Linked DNA regions of Oryza sativa Japonica Group. The protein of the gene in region 1 binds, or shares a complex with, the protein of each later gene. Links are inferred from orthologs where the notes say so. Each region holds a gene or a part of one and is shown in the gene's direction. Other genes may lie near its edges.

Region 1 (4,394 bases):
TGATCGATATGCTCCTATGCGAATTCCGTTTGGTGAACCCGTTTGCTGAATCCTGAATTGAAGTGATCAAAATTTCTGTTTTTTTTTTTTTTGCTACAGTAAATTGCACCTTTCCTGGATGCTATGGTGAAGCAAAGATCTTTTTTTCACCTGGACTGTAGCAAATGATATTTTCGGGCTTGCGTGTGGCCAGCAATGAGCCATGCTACCGTGGCCTGCTTCTCACGAGTTCTGTAGTTTGTGTAGCCATGGAGAAAGGAGCGTAATGTGCTTGAGACCGATGGTTGTGTGTGGTCGTGAAACAATCACAGCTTCTGTTCTGAAAGTCTGAACCCCAGTGATGTTTGTTTCATTGTTTGTCGTGTGCTTTTCTTTCTTTCTGACGAATGGTGAATAATTTTTCACTGATACAATGTTCGCGAATTCTTCAGATAGTCCCTTGACCACACTCGATTTTCTTCAGGCAAACAATCTCTTCTCACCCGGGCCGATCATTCAGAAACCAGGCTGTTACTAGCAGACATTGACCATCTGTTACCGTGCTGTCAAAGTAGTACTATTACCGGTGCGGTCTTTGTTCAATGCTGCACAATTCAGTTTGTATTTCACATTCTGAAAGTTTGAAACACAAAATATTCACAAGAATCAGGGAAACAGTTCACGTGTTTCAAACGGGGCCTTACATTTGGTCGATCTATACCCAATTGTCAAAATGGGTTTAGAAAAAAAATGATAATAACGTTCAGAAAACTGATATGTAGGGTATGATTGTAATGAAATTACGATTGCATCGTTGAATCTGAATATAGTGCATGTTTAAAGAAAAAATATGCCAAAAAGGTTGGTTGCGAAATACTCGGGGTTTCTTTGAAATACATTTTTTTTTTCAAATGGTTTCTGCATAGATCAGTGTAATTCCTGTATACGAAGGTCCTTCAAAATTTATTTTTGTCCCCAAGGAGGCTTTTCACTAAAATCGAACTGAAGTGAACAGAAGTGTAGACATTAGGATTCATGTTTTCGATAAAAACCAATTGAAAACCGCAAAAATTCGAGGTTTTGATAGTGTTATGACTGAAATTTAGAATGGTTCAAATCTGAAACAGTCAATTTGACCAAAATTAAACGAAAAGTTATAAAAAAATTGACAAAAACCGTTATATCCACATGGATCAGGATCCGGTGCTTAGGCGAAAACCATCTTACAAATTTTTCGAGGTTTCGACACGGAACGGAAACGTTATTCGTGTCAAAACCTCGAAAAATCATTACTACCTATTCTAAAATATTAGAATATAAAATTGGATGGGACGTTTTCAAGTATAATGTATCATAATAGACTCTATATTATAATAGAAAATATTACATACAGTTTTAGTTTCATTTAGGACAGAGGGAGTATTACGTACACTGTAGTAGTGAGCCGCTTTGATGAAGTGGCGAAGTGGAGTTGTGCACCGAGTCCACAGCAAAAGAGCGCGGAAAGGAGGAAGAAGATAAAGCATCCCCCACCTCCGCCTCTTCCCCTCCAACGACTACCTCTTCTTCCTCCTCTCGCACCACCACCACTCACCACCCCCCACCCCCCACCTCCACCCTCCTCCTCCTCCTCCGCCTCGGCGTTCGTGCATGAAACCCTAGACCCCCCCCCCCTCTAAACCCCCCTCCCTCCCGCACCCCCCGCGATGGCCAAGGCGCTCCTCTCCTCGTCGCTGCTCCCCTCGCTGCAGCCCCGCGCCGCCGCCGCGAGGCTGCCTATGCTGACGCTGCCTTCGCTGCGGAGGCACGGGGGCCGCCGCGCGTCGGCGTGCAGGGTGAGGGCGAGCCTCCACGGGCTCGACTCGATCGCGGGGCTCGACCTCCACGCCGCGCTGGAGCGCGCCGAGGCGGCGCTCTACACGCTCGCCGACGCCGCTGTCGTCGCGGCGGACGCGGCGGCGGGAGGAGGAGGGGGTGGCGGTGGTGGTGGCGGTGAAGCGGCGGCGTCGGTGGCGCAGAAGAACGGGGGGTGGTTCGGGTTCATCTCCGAGGCCTTGGAGGTCGTGCTTAAGGTAAGCGCCGCCGTCTTCTCCCAAACCTATAGGAATCCAAGTCACTTTAGGAGTTCAGGTTCAGGATTGCTAAGATTGGTTAATGGATATATCCCTGAGTTGCAAAAGTTGGTCTGGTGAATTGGTTGGGGAATTGGAGATTTGGAGTCATGTAAGTTCGTGGAGAGTGCAGGAGTAGATGTGCATGCACTTAATTATGACGCCTCCATGCTCTGAAACTTACTAAACATTGAGCAGACGGCAACCCGGCATGGTTATTTTTAAGTAACTTATATCTAGTTATGACCAGGCGTGCATTGTTTAGCATTTTCCTATCCACAGGTTTTGATATGAAATGTTACAATTCAAGAACTGTTAGGATTTTATTGCATAGCATTCATCGGCTCCGGAATGCTGATACTATGTGAGTATCACCATACAGGTGCTGAAGGATGGCCTGTCAGCTGTTCATGTGCCGTACTCTTATGGATTCGCCATCATTCTTCTCACTGTTATTGTGAAGGCTGCAACATTACCTTTAACGAAACAACAGGTAAATGATAAAATCTGGTCTATTTTTTAATTAATGAGTAACATGGATATGGTGGGTTGAGAGTTGTGCTGTTTTTCCTCTCTTTTTTTAGGTCGAATCAACTCTGGCTATGCAGAATTTACAGCCACAGATCAAAGCAATTCAACAGAGATATGCAGGAAATCAGGTTTGTTTTGTTTATCTTTTACGCACGCCATGGATATTAAAGTAGGAACACTGAGGTTTGTTTCTGGATATATGTTTTGCATATTTTAACGATAGAAGGTAGAACTATCTTCCCAAAAAATGTTCTTATTTCACTGTTGTGTTTTATATTTTCAAGCACATATCTTTGGGCATTTCTGATCTATCACTCCTACATAACTCTTATTAGGAAAGGATACAGCTTGAGACTGCTCGGTTATACAAGCAAGCTGGAGTCAACCCTCTGGCAGGTCGCTTACTTCTCCATTCTTTAGCCTATTAACTTTGATAGTTGAATTGTTCCATTGCATCTTTTTTGTATGAGTTTGTTATTTATTAGTTGATCATATTTTCTATTTCTCGACATAATGCATCTATTGCCATCATGTGCTTGCAAAACCAATTGTTGGCTTTTTAAAGTTTTAAGTGAGATTGCTTTTGTGATATAGTGTTTTGATATTATGGTTTCTCTTCCAGGATGTTTTCCAACTTTGGCAACAATACCTGTCTGGATTGGCCTCTACCAAGCCCTTTCAAATGTAGCAAACGAGGTAAAACTCAAATCCTGCTTCCTAATATTTGCTTCATTAAGAGGATTTTGTTCTAAGTGGCTTATATTTCTCTGAAGGGATTACTGACAGAAGGATTTTTCTGGATTCCATCTTTGGGAGGCCCTACAACAATTGCTGCTCGGCAAAGTGGTGCTGGCATTTCTTGGCTCTTGCCTTTTGTGGTAATAAAATTGATCACACGTTAACATATATCAACAATTTCATTGCTGATCTAGGAAAATCAGGTTTATAGTGCACTTGAGCGAATTTAACCTCATTTTCCCCCCTTATTTGACTTTGACATACCCGTCAAGTTAGATTAGTGTCACGTTTCTGCCCATAGTCATTTAAGCAATCAAGCAACAAGAAGCTTAGCTATTTGCACCTCGCATTTTGTTGCCTATTATTTAGAACTCTGGTTGAAATAAATGGCGTGGCATACCAATTTATAGTCCTGTAGAGACATGATAGTAAAACAGCATATTACTCATGTACTTGCATAATATTGAGATGGTAAATCATACTTACAACTTAAATGAATTGTGCAGGATGGCCATCCTCCATTAGGCTGGCATGACACGATATGTTATCTTGTGTTGCCTGTGCTACTTGTTGCTTCTCAGTTTGTCTCTATGGAAATCATGAAGCCACCCCAGGTGAGCAGACGAGCGGTGCTCTAAATTACTATATCATCTGTCATATTGCCACTATACAAGCTATGAGTGGCTGGCAATTTGATCCTTTTTTTCTGCAGACTGATGATCCATCGCAGAAGAACACACTGCTTGTTTTGAAATTTCTTCCATTTATGATAGGGTGGTTCTCTTTGTCAGTGCCGTCAGGGTTGTCCATTTATTGGTATGTGCATTTGCTATTAGTTGTATGAGTGTTTCAGTCATGTTCCATGCTATAGTGCTATGCCTCATAGAGATTGTGGGACTCCTCCACTGCTCATTAACTTCTTGCAATTGATCAAATCCAATATGTGTATTGACTCCATGTTTGCTATCAGGTTCACAAATAATATCCTCAGCACAGCCCAGCAAGTTTGGTTACGGAAACTGGGAGGAGCAAAGC
Region 2 (3,587 bases), on another chromosome or scaffold:
TCCTAGGTCCAGATCTAGCGCATCCACAGTCGGGGTCGGGTGGTGTGGAGTCCGGTCGTCGTGCAGGTGGTGTGAATATTGTAGGTACCTTTCGGTGTGCAAGTGGCATTTGGGAGCTTCCGTTGTGGATGCTTTGGTTGACAGGGTCTCCGAGGTGAAAACCTTGCTCTGCTCCGGTGCTAGCAACGGCGACGCCCTCGGGTGCCATTCACCTTCTTGAAGGCGTTGCTTTTAAAGCCCTTGTTTCAACTCCACTTCAAGGGAATTCTCCGAGTGAAAACCTTAGATTCGTTAGGATCGGACGTTGTCGCCGTCTTGTCGGCGTTACCTTCTTGAAGGCTTCGTTTTAGGAGTTTCTTCTCTTGTTGGACTACTCTTATTTGCGTTCAGTTTGTCAATGCCGGGTTTTCGCCGGTTTTTCTAAAATTAACCGTGCTGTTGTAAAGTTTTTGGGTCTGATTTTTCTTATATCAACTATCTTCTTCTATAGTGAAATTGTAGGAGCTCTCTGCATGTCCCTAAAAAAACTATTAAATTTGCTCTTAAGAAGAAAATGTGTGGATCTAACTACCCAATTAGAGAAAGAGGAGGGAGATTTTTAGACGAGGTCTACTCATTGCCTGGAGATGAAAAAGCAGGTCTACGAGGCAGTGCCAACAAACACCGTCAAGATCAAGATCAGCACATGTCGTTCCAACAATCCCCATTTATCTCACTCCTCTCAATCTCTTTTGCCGATGCTTGCTAAATTATTGCCATCACGTTGGTTGCCCTTTTTTTCGCTCAGTCCCCACGGCAAAACTCTAGCTCCCCCTGTGCCACACTGCCACATAACTTGCTTGACGGCCTCTGTGTCAAATCCGGCATGTTTGGTTTCTTGCCGGCATGCTGGTCAGCATCGGAAAACTTCCCCTTCAAGAGAGGGAGAGAGCTACAAATCGGATTAGGCGGATCCAGCTCGTCATGCGAACCAGCGCCTTCGCCGCCAGATCGATCTCCTTGACCGGAATCAAGTCCAGTCGATGCATGGATGGAGCTTCTTCTTTGTGTTTCTGGACGTGACCCACCATAGATTTTGCTCTGCCATGAATCAAGCACCGCCTAGCTGCACAAGCTTAACTTCTAGTTTTTGTTTATGTTGTCAATCGATTTTAAACTAAAACAGGGTGTTGTGATCTGGTCTAGCAAGAAACGGAGAGAGGAAATTTGGGTTAAGAAAGATGAGCTAGCATGCATAAAACCAAACGCACAACTGCCAATAAGGAGTACACTTTTGATTGTACATGTTAACATATTTATACAAATTTAATCATCTAATTATTAATATGTACTTACTTCCGTTTAAAAAAAAGATAACATAGTACTAGAATATCGAATTTAGATATAGAGGATGTGTCACATTCTAATTCAATTGTCATAATTTTTTTTTAAGTAGTTGGCTCTCGGTATAGCTGCAAATCTAAATGCTACAGTAGCTAGTTTCCGCGCGCGGCAACGGGGACCCGAACCCCGATCTCCGGTGGGAAATGGGCATCATCGACCGTTTGGCGGATGTGAATAGCACTACTCCATCTGTACCGTCCATGCCACAAAACGAGTGGCTCAGATCGCACACAATCCAAGAGACCCATCACCTTATCCTCTTCTCCCTCCCGAATCCAAACCCATCATCCTCTTCCCTCCACTCCACTGCCACTCGCGCCACAAGCTCCTCCCACTCCAATGGAGGCTGTCCTACGACACCCATCCCTTTCCCGCCTCAAACCCCCCAACCCCAATGCTCAGAGAACTCCAGCCCTCTCCATCACCGTCCCTTTCCGGCTTCGTCTCCCCAACCGGCGGCTCACCGCCGCGGCGGTGTTCCAGGACCAGACCAACCCAAGAAACCCAGCGAGCAAGGGAGGCGACGACGATGAGGCGTACGGCGAGGTGGACCGTATTGTGTCCAGCCGCACCATCAAGAATCCGGTGTTCGCGGAGGACGGCTCGGCCACCACGGTCACCGCCACGGAGTACCTCGTCGAGTGGAAGGACGGGCACGAGCCTTCGTGGATCCCGGCGGAGGCCATAGCGGCGGACGTGGTGGCGGAGTACGAGACGCCGTGGTGGACGGCCGCCAAGAAGGCGGACGCGGCGGAGATCACTGCGCTACTCGCGGACGAGACGCTGCGGCGTGACCCCGACGCGGAGGATGCGCAGGGGCGCACGGCGATGCACTTCGCCGCGGGGCTTGGATCCGAGGAGTGCGTGCGCGCGCTCGCCGAGGCCGGGGCCGACGTGGGGCGACCCGAGCGCGCCGGCGGCGGGCTCACGCCGCTGCACATCGCGGTCGGGTACGGGCGCCCGGCGGCCGTGCGCGCGCTGCTGGAGCTGGGCGCCGAGCCGGAGGCCCCCGACGGGCAGGGCCGGACGCCGCTGGAGCTGGTCCAGGACGTGCTCGCGAAGACGCCCAAGGGCAACCCGGCGACGTTCGAGCGGCGGCTGGCGCTGGAGGCGGCGGCGAAGGAGCTGGAGAAGGCCGTGTACGAGTGGGGCGAAGTGGAGAAGGTGGTGGACGGCCGCGGCGAGGGCAAGTGGCGGGAGTACTTGGTGGAGTGGCGCGACGGCGGCGACAGGGAGTGGGTGAGGGCGGCGTGGGTGGCGGAGGACCTGGTGAAGGACTTCGACGCCGGGCTGGAGTACGCCGTCGCGGAGGCCGTCGTCAACAAGAGGGAGGCGGCGGAAGGGGAGGGGAAATGGGAGTACCTTGTCAAGTGGGTGGACATCGAGGAGGCGACGTGGGAGCCCGCGGAGAACGTCGACGCCGAACTCCTCCAGGAGTTCGAGCAGCGGCAATCTGGGGTGGCTGCTGGCGGTGATGCTCCGCCGCCGCCGCCGGTCGCCGGGTGACAGCGTGTCGCCGTCGACGGAGGGTGTTCGATTCTTCCTGGTTTTGCTGTGTTTAACAGAACGGGATAAAATGTTTGTGCTGCTGCAAAATGTATCATTAGCGCTTTGATAATTTTTGAGTTGAGCAGAACTTTAACCTCAGATTGCAATTTGAGAATGTGAAGAGTTTCAGAAAATGGTGATGCATATGGATCCTTCATCAGTTAAGTATGATTAGGATGGCAAAATTCAGTACTCTCTCAAGATTAGAAGAAGAAATGCTTGCCTCGTATCAAGGCAGCCGATCCAATTGGAAGACATTCTGAAGCCAACGACTCTAGCTAGACTGCACAACAGGATGCATAAGATTCAGGCACAATATTGCAGTCTGACAGAGTGCCAATACCTTGCACGACCACATGAACATATCTAGCAGTCTGATGGCTCCAAATATCAGGATAATAGAAAGGAACAGCTCTTAGCATACATAAAAGTATATGTTTATTCCTTCAATGAATAAATAATAGATCAAATATCTTTATCAAAAAACACTCTTAGCATGTTACATTGTACTCTTCCGGTGTACAGATCTCACATTTGCTAAATTGCACCAATGATGCAGAAACAAAAGGAGATTTGACTCTAAAAGTAAATACTTTACAGGTGGCCTTGTGTTCATAAAGAACCAAAAGAAAGATGCCAGGTTGTTGGCTCCAATG

What was found.
Region 2: the proteins of inner membrane protein PPF-1, chloroplastic (region 1) and probable signal recognition particle 43 kDa protein, chloroplastic are in contact, whole or in part, in a crystal structure (PDB 5E4W), measured with the Arabidopsis thaliana proteins. The link is inferred for Oryza sativa Japonica Group from reciprocal best matches to the Arabidopsis thaliana genes ALB3 and CAO. Residues at the interface, in NP_180446.1 of Arabidopsis thaliana: Lys454, Arg455, Ser456, Lys457, Arg458, Lys459, Arg460, Thr461; in NP_566101.1 of Arabidopsis thaliana: Asp273, Glu274, Asp312, Tyr313, Gly316, Leu317, Glu318, Tyr319, Ala320, Val321, Ala322, Trp343, Asp345, Met346, Thr350, Glu352, Asn356, Asp358.

Annotation. Positions count from the first base shown.
Region 1 is NC_089035.1:2,776,585-2,780,978, forward strand, and holds the start of inner membrane protein PPF-1, chloroplastic, read left to right. Parts: upstream 1-1,509; 5' UTR 1,510-1,685; coding exon 1,686-2,051; intron 2,052-2,472; coding exon 2,473-2,583; intron 2,584-2,674; coding exon 2,675-2,749; intron 2,750-2,956; coding exon 2,957-3,017; intron 3,018-3,243; coding exon 3,244-3,317; intron 3,318-3,394; coding exon 3,395-3,499; intron 3,500-3,865; coding exon 3,866-3,973; intron 3,974-4,071; coding exon 4,072-4,175; intron 4,176-4,329; coding exon 4,330-4,394. UniProt on the Arabidopsis thaliana protein: Required for the insertion of some light harvesting chlorophyll-binding proteins (LHCP) into the chloroplast thylakoid membrane.
Region 2 is NC_089037.1:1,824,892-1,828,478, reverse strand, and holds probable signal recognition particle 43 kDa protein, chloroplastic, read left to right. Parts: upstream 1-1,645; 5' UTR 1,646-1,722; coding exon 1,723-2,889; 3' UTR 2,890-3,028; downstream 3,029-3,587.